Linked DNA regions of Arabidopsis thaliana. The protein of the gene in region 1 purifies or fractionates together with the protein of each later gene. This does not show direct contact. Each region holds a gene or a part of one and is shown in the gene's direction. Other genes may lie near its edges. The genes, in order: AT2G19940, AXL and AT3G25880.

What was found.
Region 2: the proteins of AT2G19940 (region 1) and AXL fractionate together in Arabidopsis thaliana (co-fractionation; one large-scale study listed by BioGRID). This does not show direct contact.
Region 3: the proteins of AT2G19940 (region 1) and AT3G25880 fractionate together in Arabidopsis thaliana (co-fractionation; one large-scale study listed by BioGRID). This does not show direct contact.

Annotation. Positions count from the first base shown.
Region 1 is NC_003071.7:8,610,343-8,617,077, forward strand, and holds AT2G19940 (Putative N-acetyl-gamma-glutamyl-phosphate reductase), read left to right. Parts: upstream 1-2,583; 5' UTR 2,584-2,688; intron 2,689-2,691; exon of another isoform or gene 2,692-2,811; 5' UTR 2,812-2,825; coding exon of another isoform or gene 2,826-2,860; coding exon 2,861-2,873; intron 2,874-3,004; coding exon 3,005-3,174; intron 3,175-3,500; coding exon 3,501-3,608; intron 3,609-3,713; coding exon 3,714-3,800; intron 3,801-3,880; coding exon 3,881-3,931; intron 3,932-4,005; coding exon 4,006-4,077; intron 4,078-4,162; coding exon 4,163-4,282; intron 4,283-4,370; coding exon 4,371-4,431; intron 4,432-4,507; coding exon 4,508-4,588; intron 4,589-4,664; coding exon 4,665-4,744; intron 4,745-4,819; coding exon 4,820-4,909; intron 4,910-4,981; coding exon 4,982-5,110; intron 5,111-5,199; coding exon 5,200-5,307; 3' UTR 5,308-5,775; downstream 5,776-6,735. Other genes in the region: AT2G19930 (RNA-dependent RNA polymerase family protein), read right to left, coding at 1-47, 152-239, 344-542, 702-885, 1,087-1,158, 1,288-1,417, 1,556-1,700, 1,793-2,117; GC1 (golgin Putative 1), read right to left, coding at 5,999-6,055, 6,135-6,179, 6,264-6,362, 6,449-6,494, 6,584-6,660.
Region 2 is NC_003071.7:13,755,012-13,762,114, forward strand, and holds AXL (AXR1-like protein), read left to right. Parts: upstream 1-2,581; 5' UTR 2,582-2,690; coding exon 2,691-2,728; intron 2,729-2,836; coding exon 2,837-3,009; intron 3,010-3,102; coding exon 3,103-3,266; intron 3,267-3,359; coding exon 3,360-3,470; intron 3,471-3,556; coding exon 3,557-3,636; intron 3,637-3,766; coding exon 3,767-3,917; intron 3,918-4,011; coding exon 4,012-4,105; intron 4,106-4,354; coding exon 4,355-4,443; intron 4,444-4,646; coding exon 4,647-4,720; intron 4,721-4,817; coding exon 4,818-4,980; intron 4,981-5,050; coding exon 5,051-5,136; coding exon of another isoform or gene 5,137-5,140; exon of another isoform or gene 5,141-5,242; coding exon of another isoform or gene 5,243-5,273; exon of another isoform or gene 5,274-5,315; coding exon 5,316-5,399; intron 5,400-5,485; coding exon 5,486-5,666; intron 5,667-5,767; coding exon 5,768-5,851; 3' UTR 5,852-6,141; downstream 6,142-7,103. Other genes in the region: GLR5 (glutamate receptor 5), read right to left, coding at 1-611, 961-1,222; AT2G32415 (Polynucleotidyl transferase, ribonuclease H fold protein with HRDC domain-containing protein), read right to left, coding at 6,296-6,359, 6,548-6,878, 6,984-7,103. UniProt on the Arabidopsis thaliana protein: Regulatory subunit of the dimeric ECR1-AXL1 E1 enzyme.
Region 3 is NC_003074.8:9,467,698-9,472,357, reverse strand, and holds AT3G25880 (NAD(P)-binding Rossmann-fold superfamily protein), read left to right. Parts: upstream 1-2,324; coding exon 2,325-2,371; intron 2,372-2,482; coding exon 2,483-2,638; coding exon of another isoform or gene 2,639-2,645; exon of another isoform or gene 2,646-2,744; coding exon 2,745-2,766; 3' UTR 2,767-3,253; downstream 3,254-4,660. Other genes in the region: NIMIN-2 (NIM1-interacting 2), read left to right, coding at 1,469-1,837.

The DNA of each region.
Region 1 (6,735 bases):
ATGCAAGGTTTTTTGTTCTTGTCAAGAACATCTTTCCCATCTTGATCCTGCAATTGGAAGAAATGGAAAAAGGTCAAAGAACATAGCGAATGCAAGTAAGTAAAGGCATTAGAGACGAAGTTCCTCAAGGAAACATGAATTAAGGACGTACATGGCAGTGTATATCATCAATTTGATCAAAGGTAATCCCAGTCATGTCAACTTCAAGCGTTTTAGTCTTTGACAGAATTAAGGAAAACCTGAAGCATCAGCAAAAGAAAGGTGACTCTGATAAAAAAGGACATCTACAGAAGAGTTTAAATATGATACAGTAGAATATCTTCATATACTTCCTTTAAAGTACCTTGCCATATAATTCGCCAAAGTTGGTGCTCGATGCACGTGCATAAAATGCATACGAGCTTCATAAATTGACTTTCCGGTTAAAATATAGGGATTTTGCATATCATAAAAAGCTGTTGAGTCCGTGCGTATAAAGTAGCATTTCACTTTCTTTGTAGAAAGATCTTTCTTCTTTTCCTCTTTTCCTCCATCTTTGAAAACTGTTCAATAGAATGTCACAAAGAGCTACAATATCAGGTTCTAAATCTAAAGCAGAAGTATGATATGTGTATAGCTTAGCAACATTACAATAAATAGTTTTGTATGTGTAACGACATAAATGGTAGTTAATCAAGAGAAAAAGGGAAAACAATGCCCACCAAAAAATTGATAACGACGTAAACCAATCATGATACCGTTCTTGGCAATCCCTTTGTATGTAAAGTAATGGTCAATGCTATATGTTGATGAACTTTTCTGGACATCCGCGAATTTGACGGTTAAAACATTATCATCACCCAAGACCTTGTGCAAGTGTGTTCCAGTGTGTTCAAGAAGAGGGCCCTGTGAACACAGTGTGTCGATAAGTATATTGAGTCAATGTCAAGGTGCAATGTTTGATAGACATATCAATTGTTTTATAGACATATGATAGCGACTTACAAAGAATTTCTTCTACAGCTTGAATCAAAAATATTACACAAAGTACATATGCCTAATGGAAAAAGCAAACAGAAAAGATAGTACTTGAAGAGCTGAAAGAACCTTGAATGTGTAGCTACCATTGGGAGCAACATTACACTGATAGTAATGGGTCTTCCCGCTATCCCATTGCAACTGGGGAAATGAAGCATGATAGAAAATGCAGTTAATACAACTTTGATACCAAACTCAACTTCTTGTAAAATTACCTTCAGAAACGCAAACATGAAAATATAAACAAAACCCAATAGAATAGAACAATACCATTCTTCGGTCCTTTTGGGGACAATAATGCCGGCCCAAGCGGTCCCAAACCGCTGCTTCATATTCAACCATTGGCAAATCTTTCCACAGTCTAATCTCATCAGCAGTTATAACCTGGCCCACATGTTGCCTGTATAACATCAAATAAAGAAAAAGTTAAGCATCACCAAAAGAGGTAATTGTCACCATCAAAACCAAACAATTACAATAGGTGGATAAGAGAATATAGAGATGTAAGAAATTGGGAAACTTGCATAACAAACATTACCCTGGAATATAGCTAAGTAACAAAAACACCTTCTTAAATTCAAGTTCACCCAAAGCTACCAGCTGGGGAATGTGCAGAGATCCTCCTTTGTCTTCACTTTTCAAAGACTTAGGAGAAGGAGCATCAGAATCAACAGACATCTCTTCTGCAATCGCCAACAATCATAAGAAAAGTAAAGATTTTTACTATCCAAATTCACATTTTCACAAGCAAAGAGAGTTTGTTTCTGATACTAACCTTGAAGAACCCTGGACACGTGTCTTCCAGAGGGGCTAAGAGAGTTCGCCGGCTGTGGATAGCCAGTAAAACTAACGGCTTGGTTAACCTTAGAAACGATGAAGCTGTCGAGGTTGTATATCAAACCAGCCTGCAAACTAAAAACTTTCCTGACCAACTCAAAACCCAAATTCTCAGGAATCGAAGACAGTCTCTGTCTCGTCTCATCATTAATCGGAGTAAGATTGTGTTTTCTGTAGATATTCTCTAAAGCTGTTTCAATCCGACCCGAAAGAGCGATCCTTATCCTCGAAGAAGCTTGATTCATGCTGCGAAAATTTATCATTTTTCTTCCCGTTCGTCGGAATCTCACACTTTCTTCTTCTTCTCTCTTACTTCAGAATTTAAGGGTTGCCAAAAAAAAATACCCAGTAGAGAAACAGTTTCTACTGTTAGTGATTGGATTTGATTTGACGATGACACAAGAAGAAACAGAGAGGAAATAAAAAGGTCGGAGCTTTTTCTCTAGATTTTCTTTTGACTCCATTGAAACAAATTCATCTAACCGCTTCGGCGCTTACTCAAGTAATTGACATGAATGCCTTTACTCTTAGTCTGGGAATTACCAAAATGCCAGATTTTTGTCGTCACCCGATGCAAACGCCAAGACATATCGCGTTTTCTGCAAACGATTAATTCGTCGATAAACCGGGTTGAACCACGGGTAGCCTGTTCAGTAAACGGGTTCGATCCCTGAAACGGCACCGCTTTGATAGGTTTTAAGTAGGGCTAGCTGAAACGTCGTCGTTCTTGCGTTTTCGTCCCACAATCTTTGTCGTGGTTTTCTGCTGTCTTCTTCTCCGTCGAACTTCTCCGACCACTTCGTATAGAGAGAGAGAGTGACGAAGAGTTTACGGGTATTTGTTTCATCACTACCATAATTGACTCTCAATATCAAATCACATTGAGAGAAGCTAATTTCTTCTTGTTCTTAGCAAAAAGATTAGTCTTTTTTTGTTCCTGAATTTTGTTTTTTGCAGAATCGAATCCAATAATGAGTACTGCGTCGGCTTTTAGTTCAATCCAAGGATGCTGGTTCAAGGTCAATTCCTAAAACTCTTCAAAATCTCTGTTTTTTTTCCCACTGAATCCACATTCAAGCTCATTGTAGCTTGTGTTGTGTTATTGCAATCTGATAATCATGTAAATGTGGGTTTTCTTTGTTTTGAAAAGGGCGAAAGGAAAATTGTGTAGCGGATAAGCGAGCCAAGAGGCTTACTTTGGGATCCCATGTGGCTTCGCCATCTTCAATGAGCTTCAGAGTTTCAGCTAGTAGTTCTGTTAAACCTGAAAAGGATATTAGGATTGGTCTTCTTGGTGCAAGTGGCTACACTGGTGCTGAGGTTTGTGCAATGTTGAATCTGTCTGTTTCAAGTTTAATTTTCTTGGAATTGTTTGTTTTAGTGATCTCTTTGGTTTTGCAATGAATCAGAGCTTAAGTGGTATGCATCTTGTTGCAAGTTTTTGACTTTTTGGGTATTGGCCTTCTAATTTAGCTTAAGCTGTAAACATATGCAAAGTTAATCTTTTCTCGATAAAAGGAAGAGAAAAGTCTTATAGTCGTTGCTTTAAAGTTGTTTAAAATTACAAGGGAAAGAATGGATGAGGCATTCAAGGTTTCATTCAAACCCATGAGATGGTAAGTTTACTCTTCTTTATTGAATTGCAGATCGTTAGGCTTCTTGCAAATCATCCGCATTTCCAGGTCACTTTGATGACTGCTGATAGAAAAGCTGGCCAGTCAATGGAAAGCGTTTTCCCACACCTGAGAGCTCAAGTATAAGTGATTTCTATCCCTAGTAATATACCAAGAAATGAATCTGTTCAATGTTACTTTGTGATGGTGTATATTGATTAATAATTGAACCTTTACTGTCCACAGAAACTACCTACTTTGGTCTCGGTAAAGGATGCAGATTTTTCTACTGTGGATGCTGTATTCTGCTGTTTACCTCACGGAACAACTCAGGTTCATTTTCCTTTCATTCTTCCATTTCAATTTCTTAAAGCTTTTCTTAGCTTAACGGAAATGAGTGTGTATTTCAACAGGAAATCATCAAGGAACTGCCTACTGCATTGAAAATCGTTGATCTTTCAGCGGTAATCCTTGAAGAACTGTTTTTTTTTTGTTCCTTTTCTTTCAGTTATAAGCCCATCTAAAATACGCTTTTCAGGACTTCCGGTTGCGTAATATTGCAGAATATGAAGAATGGTATGGTCAGCCTCACAAGGCAGTAGAGTTACAGGTACATTTCTCTCAATGTTATTCCTTGATTTTAGGTCTGTTGTGTTCATAATGGTTATACTTACCAAGTGTCCTACGGGGTTCAGAAAGAAGTTGTGTATGGTCTAACAGAGATACTAAGGGAGGACATAAAAAAGGCACGACTTGTGGCTAACCCAGGCTGTTACCCGACTACGATTCAACTTCCTCTTGTTCCTTTACTAAAGGTTTGTTTTTCTATTCTTTTCTGGTATGCGATTTTACTTAACTGCCTAGTCTTCCGTCTCTCTACTCAATGTGTTGATTTTGGTGCAGGCAAATCTCATCAAACATGAAAACATCATTATCGATGCAAAATCTGGTGTTAGTGGAGCAGGTTTGAGCTTACTCCGTGATCAATGAACAATGATGCAATGTTTCTAGTTTCTTGACTGATATGAAATTTTCATCAGGACGTGGTGCTAAGGAGGCAAATCTTTACTCTGAGATAGCTGAAGGCATTTCTTCTTATGGTGTCACCCGTCATCGCCATGGTATGTCACAAACTAATTATCACAATGAGTTAAAATTTTGCCATGATTTGAATTCAATATCTCTTTTGTTTTGCAGTTCCTGAAATTGAACAGGGATTATCTGATGTTGCACAGTCAAAAGTAACAGTCAGTTTTACGCCACATCTCATGCCAATGGTACAAATAATCTTAGCATGATTTCTATAATTTTTAACCTTAAACCCATTAACTGATCCTCAGTTGTTTGGGTAGATCCGTGGAATGCAATCGACTATATATGTGGAAATGGCTCCCGGGGTTAGAACCGAAGATTTACACCAGCAATTGAAGACGTCTTATGAGGTGATGATTACTCTTATGTTGTAAGCCAATTACTACTTTTGTTACTTATTATGTTTCAAAAATGTTTTGTAGGATGAAGAATTTGTCAAAGTGTTGGATGAAGGAGTTGTTCCTCGGACACACAACGTTAGAGGATCCAACTATTGTCATATGAGTGTCTTTCCTGATCGAATTCCTGGAAGAGCTATCATAATCTCAGTGGTAATTAAGCATAACCATCCTCTGTTATAAACTCATCTTTAGCTTTCGACAATATTGCTTTGTGTATAAAAAGCTCTCTGGTGTTGCAGATTGATAATCTTGTGAAAGGAGCTTCGGGACAAGCGTTGCAGAATCTTAACATAATGTTGGGATATCCCGAAACAACGGGGCTCCTACACCAGCCGCTTTTCCCTTAAAAATCCCACCTTTAAATCGGTAAAATAGCATTCTTCTCTCTTGTTGGCTCTGTATCTTGAAGATATTTCTGTCATTAGATTTGCCTGCTTAAGCGTTTGTCTTTATTCCTATCTTCAGATGACCAATCTGAAGCTGTTGAGACGGCAATGTTAAGCATAAAGATGGTTGGTTATATGATTCATATTTATAGACAATAAAGCCTCTTCTTTTACCATTACAAATAAATGGTTTTGTTGTTTGTTTATTAAGGTTTTGATGAACCTTTATTCTTGTTATCTCTATTTTCTGAATTGCAATTTTCGTTTGAGTCACAAAAGAAAGTTGAACTTATTCTATTACAGATTGTTGGATGTGGCGGTGGCCAAAATACATATTCAGCTTAGGGTGACCAAAACTAAACCGAGTTCGGGCGTCAGAGAAAATAAGTAAACCGAACTTTAATAGGCTCAACAGATATATATTCAAATGCTTTTAAAACCAACCATGCCTATCAATCAAGTGTGTATAAACCCCATTTACCAACATTATGTTCTTCACATACCAACAGGTTAGATTGGAATATCGTAAGAAGCAGCCTCTATATATATAAAGTTTTAAAAGTCTTCTCTATAATCCATAGTTATGCTTCTTTCTTCCACATTACTCAGCAATCTCTTAAAACCACCATGTGTTGCTTTCTTATGGAATCTGTTATAGTCTGAAAACGTTGTTGGTCATTGCCGCAACTTCCTGGGCCTCGGCTTGCTCCTACACGAGATTTAGGAACGACAACAAGTTGAGTTCCATGACTGTGATGTGATTTTCAATGTAAAATGACCAAGCATACCTGGAGTCGGTGTATTAGATACATCAAGAAGAGATGAACAAAGACCTGCAAATTCATAAATGATGTCAGCTTAATGTTCCATAAATTCACAAGTAAGGCGAATGAGATTGAAATAAGCGAGCGCCTTACAAGGTAAAAAAGTAGGAACATCCGTGCTATTGGGTACCGCCAAAGGAACCTAGTGGCCCTTACAGCTCCTGAGTCTAACAGTTTCACTGCATTCTGCAACTGAAGACAGAAGGCGAACAAAGCAAACATAAGAGTAAAGTTAAAAGAGAACGCCGACAATTCGTAATGGGCTCCCAAATCTCTACCTGTGTGCTCGCTGTAGCCATGTGTCTGTGATACAATGGAAGAGGCCTGAAATGGTATTTTGTAAGTATCGAACAACAAACTCAGCAGATATATATATATCATAAATCACATTAGAACATAGCTAAAAGACATACTCAAGTGTCTTAATCTCAGAATCTTCTTCCCAAGTTGCTGATGCGCGTCGCGAAACTCTACTTTTTTCTACCTCTACCTGAATCAACAAGTTTAGAACCTTTCTTGTAAGTATCATGGAAAAGTAAAGGTACATATATGAACCATAGAGAGC
Region 2 (7,103 bases), 5.1 Mb from region 1:
TTCCATCTTTACGGATTCTGGGATATGTTGACGAAGCCCCACTACTCCTTCAAGGCGTTTTAGAGTACCTTTGTCACTCAAAGAATCTAAGGTAACAGAGAGCCAGTCTGTGGCGAGCCATACGTATTCATGGGTCATCATCTGCAGCTTTTGCGCTATATCAAAAATTCTGAGCAATGGGTCCGGACCAAAATGAAGAATATAAACTCGAGGACCGATGGACTTGGATTTGTTCAAAGCATTAGTAAGGAATTTTTCATCAGAATGAACTGAGAGCGGCACTTTATAGGAAATTCTGGATCTTTTCTTGTACAGTTCATCATCTAGAGCAGAAACTCCATTTCTTCCGAGCTCATCATCCGAGTAAACTGAGATCACTTCTTTCCATCCATAAAAATTGATAAGATCCACAAGGGCAGACATTTGGTGGGCATCATTAGGTGTAGTCCGAAGAAAGAAGGGAAATTGGAGGGCAGAGAGAGTTGGATCAGTTGCTGCAAATGAGACAAGAGGAAAGTGGAGCCCTTTTGCAATATCGGAAATTGTATGAGCAACAGAGGATGAAATTGGACCGATCATAGCCACCACTTCTTTCTCAAGCAATTCAAAAGCTGCAAAACAAAAACCACTGAAGCTTAAACCAGGCCCTTAGTGGTAAAACCAAAGTTTTGTTTCCACTTATGTACAGGAAACACAGGTCCTAGTAACAGCCTGTTTAGGGTATGCGGTCTATATTGTTCTATGCATTATTAGCATTCGGAACCCAAAATATGTACCAATAAAAAACGGATTAAAACGTAAATCGATGTGCCAATCATTTCCAACTATCACAAAATGAAATATTGTTGCTACTGATGTGCATTGACCGCTTTCTATAATATGTTTGATATACTGTATCAGCCATGGATGAGTGTCACAAGTGTTTGAAACACAAAAGAACTAGAAGAACAGTCACGGTACCTCCAAAGGACCCACGAAAGACATTGCAGGCAGAATCCTCCATTAATAGCCGTAGCTCCGTTTCTTTGAGAAAGCTTTTATCATTGTTCACATCGGAAACAGCTGCCTCTAGAGCTACTTTTGCAGCTCTTCCGATAACCGAATCAAAAGCAAAAACAGCACCGATGTTCACCAGTTGAGGTCTTTGGCAATCCATTGGAACCACCAGAATGACCACAATCAGTGCCGTAATAGCGACAGATGGGTCAATGCCCAGTCCCATGGAGATAATGCAATCAAAGTAAGGACCACTTCAGATAGTTTGTGTTGGAACTAGAACCATCTCATTTAAATCTAGCAACTCTTCATTCAGCATTGAGGATGAGAAGATTAGAGAACTAAGCAAGGTAAAGTTTCCAACTTTGACCTGTAGAGTCAATGCGATTAGAAGACGAATCAAGATCTAAGCGAAGAGCAATCACAAGTCAAACCAAATTGATTATTTTAGCTGAAAACTAGCAACAATGTGGATATGAAGACTTATATACACAAACTCATCCGGACAGAAGAAAAATCTGAAAAAGAGTTTTTACAAATTCATTGAAATTAACAACAGTGAGACATTCTCTTTACCTCTTTGAGCTACCTTCTGGTTCTCTCTGCGGAATATACGCAAACACTTTGTAGGCATAAGTTAAAAAAGGGAAATTTTACGACAACGCAACGAATTTTTAACAAGAGAAGTCAAGAACTATCTTTTTTAAAAAACCATGATTTGACAGGAGATTACTAAAGGAAGAGAAACAAAACTAGAGAGATCAAATCATGCCCAGAAATTCATCCATCATTCTTCTTCTTCTGAGAACAAAATAGAAGAGAGAAATTGAAAAACGTGTGACTGAAGTGCTTTTTTGATTCGAGCTCACAAAGTCCTATCTAGTCTATATACTCTATAGTCACAGCAGCCGTTTGTTTGTATTTTTGTTTTCAGTGGGGCCCATCATTATTGGGCCCTACATGTAACGGCCCATTTTGTTAAGTTTATTTAAGATTAGATTACAATATAAATATTTTAATTGCCATGTGTTAATCATTTTATTTCTTCTCAAAAGTTTATTCTCTTAAGTTAATTTGTCAATGAAATGTTAATAGTATTTCATTTTATTTTTGCATAAAGAGAGACCCGTAGCAAGGCAAAATTTGAGTTGGCGTTTTTTATTCATAATAAAGATTTTTAGGCGGCAAAAAACTATTACATAATGAGATTTTATCACTTATTCATCTAATAATATTTAATTAAATTACATATGTGTTTTTTTCTAGCTATGTCATTTATTTTTACAATTTATATAAAATTTTGATATGTTTCCATGTATATATATATTTTAATAAATGAAAACTCAATCCAGAAAACATAAATTTTGATTTTATTTTAAATTATATGTTTTTATTTATAATTTGTTATCTCTTTTATACATTAAGGTGTTTTTGCAATAATACAGTCTTAATTTTTAAAAATTACAATTAAGCCCTAAACTTTGTAAATGTTCCAAATTAGGAAGGAAATAAAGAAAGGAGACAACTTAAGGTTCTCTTATTAAATGCCATTCCCTTTCTTTCTTACAAGTCACAACCTCTCTCTCTCTCTCTCTCTCTCTCTCTCTCTCTCTGCGTCTTTCTCTTTCTCTCTGTCTGAAGTTGAGAACACGAACCACTGAAAAACCCGCGAAAGACTCGAGCACGAACCAACAATGGCGGAACCCAAAACCAAGTATGATCGTCAGCTAAGGTGCACTCTTTCTCCTCCCAACTCTCTTTCTCTTCTTCAACTTCTCTGTCTCTTTCATCATTCTTCTTAATTTCGCTCAAATTGTGATGATTGGGGATAAATTCATAGGATTTGGGGAGAATTAGGTCAATCAGCTCTTGAAACCGCGAGCATATGTTTGCTCAATTGTGGTCCAACTGGCTCTGAGGCTCTAAAGAATCTTGTTATTGGTGGAATCGGAAGTATCACCATTGTCGACGGATCTAAAGTAGAAATTGGCGACCTTGGAAACAATTTCATGGGTATAATTCTCTCTTTTTCATCTTTCTTAAGCAATGCGTTTCTTCTATTTGCTGTTTATTGACATTTATTGATGATTGTTGTTGATGTTTCAGTGGATGCGAAGAGCGTTGGTCAGTCAAGAGCCAAAACGGTCTGTGGCTTTCTTCAGGAGCTTAACGATTCTGTTAAAGCAAATTTTGTTGAGGAGAATCCAGACACTTTGATATCGACAGACCCATCTTTCTTCTCTCAGTTCACTCTAGTTATCGCCACTCAGGTACATTATGTTGAGGATTAGATAGTTTCTAGTCTTTGTTTTCAGATTTTCACAGAGCGTTTGCCTTATTAGTTTGTCATGTGTTGATTGTAGCTAGTAGAAGATTCAATGGTGAAATTAGATAGAATCTGCCGGGAAGCAAACGTCATGTTGGTTTTGGCTCGCTCCTATGGACTTACTGGGTTTGTTCGTATCAGTGTAAAGGTAAGATTTTTGTGGATAGAGTGCTTTGTCACTTGTCATATGGTCTGTCTGCTAACTGCTATGTCATGTTCGCTCTTTCCTGTCAGGAACACACCGCTATTGAGACAAAGCCTGATCATTCTCTTGATGATCTCCGCTTGAATAGTCCATGGCCTGAGCTGAAGAGGTACTCTGCTTCAATCTTCTCACTCGTTATGTGTTCTTGCCATTCTTTAAACTTGTGTTTCAAATTACTTTTAATCTCCACAAACTTGCAACCAGTTGAAAGAAAATCTTATTTATTCAATGATCTGCAGCTATGTGGAGTCCATTGATCTAAATGTAGAAGAACCCGCTGCCCATAAGCACATTCCTTACGTCGTCATTCTAGTCAAGGTGGCTGAAGAATGGGCTCAACACCATAGCGGCAACCTTCCATCAACCAGGGAAGAGAAAAACGAGTTTAAGGTATCCTTACTTTTTGTTAATCAGCAAACAGTTATTAATCTTTGTTTTTCTTGTGATTCCTTGTCTTTATCTCTCTTACTCCTTGAAATTTTAGGACTTAGTTAAGTCCAAGATGGTATCAGCGGATGAAGAAAATTACAAAGAAGCCCTTCTTGCAGCTTTCAAAGTCTTTGCTCCTACAGGAATCAGTAAGTATACATACACCTCGTCTTGACATCGGTGGAAACTGGACTTTTAAATATATACTATAGATGCTGGAAATAAAGAAATTGGTTGGAGAATGGGAAAAACTGCAACGAGAACCAAATGGACAACTATCTACTATTTTCATGAAGCATGATTCATTGCTGCTCATTCATAACAGATCAGTTAACATTGGAGTTCAAAATATGAAGTCAGTTTTCACATTGAACTAAACATGTTTTCTTTTTCTCCAGGCCAAGAGATTCAAGACATTAATCATGATAGTTGTGCTGAAGTTGGCTCAAATTCCTCAGATTTTTGGGTAATGGTAGCAGCACTCAAGGTTTGTAACTTGAAAGACCTCACTTCAAAGCACATACTTCATATTGATATTTCAAACATGGAAGGGGTTGAGAACGTTTGTTGGGGTTTTAGTATTTTTTTGATCCAAGTTAGCTTTTTTTTCTGATTCCCATCAACATGGCTCAAATTCCTCAGATTTTTCTGATCCAAGTTAACCCTACTTATTATATGCATCATCTGCAGGAGTTTATTTCAAATGAAGGTGGTGGGGAGGTACCACTTGAAGGTTCCATGCCTGATATGATATCTTCCACAGAGTAAGTTCTCCTGTTCTTGCTTTTGTTTCATGGGAGGGATAAAATTCGTCCATCACCTTTATCAGATTACTATATAGCTGTATTGTATCTTTTGCAGGCACTACATCAATTTGCAGAAAATCTACCATTCCAAAGCGGAAGCTGATTTTCTTTCCATGGAACAGAGAGTAAAAAGTATTCTAGTTAAAGTTGGTCAGGATCCAAGTAGCATCTCAAAGCCAACTATCAAGAGCTTCTGCAAGAATGCACGAAAACTTAAAGTGAGAATGCTGAAATTTCTTACAATTTGATGTGTACTGTATCATTAAAACCGGGAATTGCGCCTTGTAGGTCTGCAGATATAGAACGATAGAAGACGAGTTCAAAAGTCCTTCTACAACAGAACTACATAAGTACTTGGCTGATGAGAATTACAGGTAAGAATGACTTCGTCAAAATTGATTCTTTTATACGACCATAGAGACTGTGATAACAAAAATATTACTGGAGTATATTTGTAGAACTGAAAAATAATATTTACAGTTGCAGCATTTTGGAGGCATGTTGCTGTTAGCTCTTAAGGGTCTTACCACTTTTCTGTTTATTCCTCTTGCAGTGGCGCAATTGGATTTTATATTCTTCTTAGAGCTGTTGATAGATTTGCTGGTACCTATAAGAAGTTTCCTGGACAGTTTGATGGGTAAGAGAACACATTCTGGCAAAATTTGATTGTATCTTGAATAATTTTGGCATTGTTAGGCCATTAACATGTCTCTTTTCTCATAGATCAACTGATGAGGACGCATCCCAGTTAAAGACTATTGCCCTGAGTCTTCTTAGTGAAATGGGTTGTGACGGCTATGAACTTCAGGAAGAACTGTACAATGAGATGTGTAGATTTGGTGCTGCAGAGATTCACGTGGTTGCTGCTTTAATAGGAGGAATCACATCTCAAGAAGTGATCAAGGTTCGTTTCATATCCATGTTGCTCAAAATGGTTACCCCGCAGTATCAAATAGGAGTGTGAAACAAACATTAACCTCTTTTATGGTTTGGCAATGTTTGCAGCTCATCACAAAGCAGTTTGTTCCCAAGCGAGGAACTTTCATCTTCAACGGCATTGATCACAAGTCTCAGTCTTTGACATTATAGAAGATTCTTAGACACTGGTGGCTGCAGAAGAACTCCAACATATCTTTTACCCTCACTTCAAGTTGAAACTTAACCTTTTCTTGGAGTTTTTATTCTGCTATACACCAGACTAACTAGATATCATTTCTTTGTAGAAACAGTTTCGAATTCCTCATGTATATTGATTGATTTTGAGCCGCGGTTCAAAACCGAAGAGCTCGCGTTAAGTGATGGGCATAGAGCCATTTTTGTATGACTTTCCTAAAGCAAAATTCTGGTATCGTTTCAAAATAGTCATATACTGCAATTTTAAAAGGATCAGACTTTTGGCTAAAACAAAGTACAGAGGTCTACAGAAGAATACAACAACAAACCACTGATGCGGTCGGGGGATTACAAAATAATCCTAGATTATGACAATCCAAAATTGACGAAACGGTAGAGATGGTACAGAAACAGACAAATCTACTCGGTGGAGAGTCTCTTTGTGGGATTGTAAACGCTGAATTCTCCAAAGTCTCTTCGGCCACTAGCAACAAAACAATCAAACCCTTGTAAAGAACAAGGTCCACATAAATTCACTTTTAGTAAATTCAAAGACTTTTGGTTCTCTAACACAAAAGTTGTTACTTGTCTCATGTCACAACAAGATATGATAAACATCCAAGTAGAACCTCAAGTTTATAATTAAAAAGAAGACGTAAATCTAAGGTTTACCTGTGACTAACATTCCAACCACCAGGTAAATGGCGAGGATGAACAGCATCAACAAACACTTTTCTCCACCTTTGACAGAAATCACGTACACCATCTTCTCCATGTTCCCTTAAAAGATATTCTACGATCTGTTTCCCGTGCGGTCCATGTCCTAACAAAGAGAGTTTGGAGTTTTGTTGGTGCAACGTATTCCCATTACACTGAGTATCATTTAGCTCTTTAGCTCCATCTCCTTCACTTGTACCATCACCACTATCATCAACAACTGTGCTCCTTTCTACAGTCATAATTTTCTCAAAATCTGCAAGAGCCTCCCCATCATTGTTTTCATCTAAAGATACGAAGTTGTTTGCATCAGTATTTCTGGATATCAAAGGATCATCATATCTTACACTTTATCAACCAACACAATTTTCAATGCTTATTATATGGTTACCTTCTTGTTTGTCCATACCAGCAACCTCTGCAGAATGTTTGAAGGAGACCCCTTTTTTCCTTTCGAGTTTTCTTCTTTCGTGAGGGCTCAATCCGATGAGTAAAGCTTTCTCTAAATCTT
Region 3 (4,660 bases), on another chromosome or scaffold:
TATCAATTAGTGCTTACATTATTCGAAAAATCATTACAAATTTACGTGTCATTTTAAATTGATAGTGGAAATAAATAAATAAATAAGACTAGGAATAATAATCGCAAGAAAATCTTCCCCACGTTAACGATGATCACAATTCACAAGTTCTTAGTCTTCCTTATTTATTTGTTGTTTGGCCAAATTTTTTTGGTCTTTGTTAAATTATAAAAATATAGATCTCTATGTATATAAAAATATGGGTAATATTAGAAACTAACTATGAAATGGAAAAGAATTGAGAGAATGACATTGTGTCAGAAAAGTTAGGTAAATAACATTTTCTGAAAAAGAGAAAATACAAAAATATCCTTGTGTTTACTTATTTTTACAATAATGCCATTGGCTTTAGTTATAAAGTTTATATGTATTTGTCTAAAATAGCATGATATATTTACAAAAATCATGCAATTCTTTAAAATACATACAGAATATATATACACGATATATATGTTTCTCTGAAATAATGTGTTTCTCAGAAATAGCACGAAATATTTATAAAAAGCATGCAATTCTCTTATAGATCGCGAAGTTTAAAAAAACATATAGAATTGTTACAATATTACATGGGTTTTTATTGGATAACATGACAAATATTTATTTATTTCATGAGTTTTTATTGGATAGCATGACAAATATTAATATATCAGTGTTAATAACATGTTTTGTTCTTAAAATACATGCATTTTAAAATCAGACATTTGTTTTAAAATCAAATCTAATCTCTTATATCACAACGACATTGACGGAAAATTCAGGTAAAAAGAGAAAATAAAGAATGAGAGATAGAGAGATTTCTATGGAAAAAGAAAGAGAGAACATGTAGGTGAACAAAATAAAGAGATATGATGATATATTTTATGAGAGGTGGTGAAGATTATTTTAGGAGAGGGAGAGAGAAATAGAAAAAGAAAATGACATGGTGAATCTGAAGAAGATGAATTGTGTTAAAGATGAAGAGAGAAAGAGAACTCCATGGCTAAAGTCTCGTAAAGAAGATGAAAAAGAAACAAAAGAAGGAAGAAGAAAGAGAAAGGCTAAAATAGACTAACTATTGCCAAAATTTCTGTAGCCGACAAATACTATTTGGTCCAAGGTTATTTTGTGTATTCTTTTGAAGTCAAAAGTTATTTCTTACATATACTCTAAAAATATAGCCGATACCAATTTTTCCACACATGGACTTCCTTTATTCCAAAAGTCAATAAAGTGTGACGTCATGATACTTACGCTTTAAAACATCGCATGATGATGTCATTAGCATCAATCTCCACCGTCCAATTTATTTAGTTGTTGACAATATCGACCGTCTAAGTTCCACACCGACGGCTATAAGAGTTTCATTATAAATTTTAGCAAAATAAAATCAGCAAATAATTTTTTCTTGACTAAGCTTAAACGACGCCGTTAACATTTTCTTCTGGCTAACATGAACAACTCTTTGAAGAAAGAAGAACGCGTAGAAGAAGATAACGGAAAATCTGACGGTAACAGAGGGAAACCGTCGACGGAAGTTGTTCGGACGGTAACGGAGGAAGAGGTGGATGAGTTTTTCAAGATATTACGGAGAGTACACGTGGCGACACGAACGGTTGCGAAAGTTAACGGCGGTGTTGCTGAGGGAGAGTTACCGTCTAAGAAGAGGAAACGGAGTCAGAATCTTGGGTTGAGAAACTCGTTGGATTGTAACGGCGTTCGAGACGGAGAATTCGATGAGATTAATCGGGTCGGGTTACAGGGTTTGGGTTTGGATCTGAACTGTAAACCGGAACCAGACAGCGTTAGTTTATCGTTGTAGACTTGTAGTCCTTCATGTTTTTCCCCTTCTTACAATAATCAATTTTTTTTTAACTACAATACTTTTGAAAAAAATGGTAAAAGAAGATTATTAACATGTTATCCAAATTTCAGATTCTTCAGTTTTATTTTATACGTCAAAAGAGAAGTTATATATTTGCAAAACTACAAGTCAAACAAAAGCTATTTAAGCGTTTGACGTTCCTAAACAACATAAATTTTACTAAAATCAATGTTTTAAAAAAGTGTTGATGGTAAAGATATCAATTGGGCCTTTGCCTGGCCCGTTTAGTAATATTGCAGAGTAGGTATGGGCCTGTATAAGGGAGTCCAAAAAAAGAGCGGGCATTGCGGGTTGGGTGCGTTTGGAACTTTGGATTGTGGATTAGTCATGGTTTATCTATTAATGTCTGCGGACTTGTGGACGACGCGCTTGTTCTTCTTCCTCTGTTTACGACTTACGAACATATGATCTCTCATCTCTAACAATGATGGAACCTAAAGCCAAGTACGATCGTCAACTCATGTATACTATGTTAGTCTCTTCGAACTCTACATTTGTATTATTCTATCGATCTTCGAACGAATCTTGTTGGGAGGAAATTTTATGAAGTAATCGTTGATTGATTAGGATTTTGAGGTGAAGTCAAGGGACTTTGGAAGAAGCGAGTATCTGTTTACTCAATTGTGGTCCTATTGGTTCCAATGCCTTGAAGAATCTCGTCCTTGGTGGTGTTGGTAGTATCACCATCGTTGAAGGATCCAAGGTTCTAATTGGAGACATTTGGAAACAATTTCATAGGTACTAAGTAATGACTAGTTTTTGATTTTTTTTGTTGCTATTTTTAGATGCTATTTGTGTAGTTAAATAGTTATGACATCTCTTTTTCGTCGTTGTTTGGTTATAGCTGGTGGAAGATTCAATGGTGAACCTAGATATTAACGATGGAGTAGACTGAACAGTTTGTGTTTGGTGATAACACAGAATTACAAAACTTGTGGAATAACCATTTATTACGGTCAAAGTCTCTTGTCTTCAAAGGCATGCAATAGAACAGAAGTTCTCCATAAGCGAAGGTTTCAGAGACGAGAACAACACTGTGTTTCAGAGACGAGAACAACACAGTGTGTTTCAGAGACAACTAGAACAGAACAGGATTGCGGGCCAGACCGTTAGACCAATGGACATTGCGAGGCGAATATGGGCTTCGATTGGTCGCATGTGGTCGTTGGCGGACCGGACCACCACTTATGGAAAAGAAGCACGGGCCATCACGGACCCCCCATTTGGTCGCGTGCTCGCCCGTCTGACATCCCTAGTTGATCGTCATCTAGATTTTAGACGTTTATGTGATATCTAAATAACCGTTTTGGCTGTCTAAAATTCCATAAGTTTTATTTTAGTTTATTTTTTAGTTTTCAACTATATAAATTTAAATTATAAGTTTTAGCTTTGTATATATTGTTTGTTTCCAACTATATAAATTTAAATTATAAGTTTTAGCTTTGTATATATTGTTTGTTTCCAACTATATCAATTTAAATTATAAGTTTTAGCTTTGTATATATTGTTTGCTATGAATTATAAATGGTTTTATCTAAGTTTTGTTTATAATTTCATATTTTTATTTTTCTAAGAGATAGTTTTCTATGAATTTTATTTATAATATAATATTTATAATATGTTATGTTGTAAATGTGTAGCCGCTTAAAATCTCCTAAATCATGATTAGACGTTCTAGGCGTAGATCACCACCTCTTAAGTAGCTAGTTAGATTTAGCAGATTATCCAGTTATCATGCAGATTAATTGTATTAGATAGATTTTGGTAAGATAGGTGAATTTAGCCTAATGCTTTTAAATTTATGTATTTTAAAATTAGTGAATACTGAATACTCATATTTCTTGCTTATGTATTTTGATTAATTTAAAATATACAATTTATTTCTATTAACTTGTTTTTATTATGTTATATTAATACAGAAATATATTTTATTTTTATTTGAAAACTATTTAAACCTCTAAAAAATCGTCTATCCACTAATTGACTAATTGTTCTAGCCCTTTAGGCATTAAGCAGAGAGTTATAGTCCATTTATTGTTTTCTTGACATTGGAAAATACTAATAATGCGTAATTATATTAAAGGGCTTTTGGACCTTGTAAGTTGTAGGTTGGCAGACGAAATTGGACAGAAATTTAGCGCAAGACGAGAATTGTGCAAGTGTGAATCACATCCATCCATTTTAATATGACGTGCTATCTCGTTCTTTCCTATGATACTTTAAGTTAATTGAATAAGTCAAAAGTGGATGATAAGATATAGAATTACTAACACGAAATGATATGATTGAAGCAAATTAACATGTCTTCTTTTTGTTTTATATACATAATTCTCAAATCTTTTTTTTCTTTTAAAATCTATTATATCTTTCTAACACAAACAATATATTAAACGAGTTAAAAGTCTAGTCATTCACAATAGTAGTAGTTGTGGACTTAGGTTGCTAGTCAAGCTAATCTTAATCGAGATATGTATTGGCATGACATATAGCTGTGTATCGAGATATGTACATAGACCTGCACGGCTTTATACATGTGCTGGAAAATCTGATATACAAGGTCTATCCAAAATTTGTCTTTTTTTTTATACGTAAATCTATTACAATTAGGGTCCAACTATTAGAGCATTATAATAGTTGACTATCATCATTTTCTCTTTTCGTAAGGCTTTCATAGTTTTTGCAAATGGCTTTGCTCGAAAACGATTGTTTCGGTTGCTTCCCAACAAAACGCTATACCAAACAAAGAATTACAACTCGAAC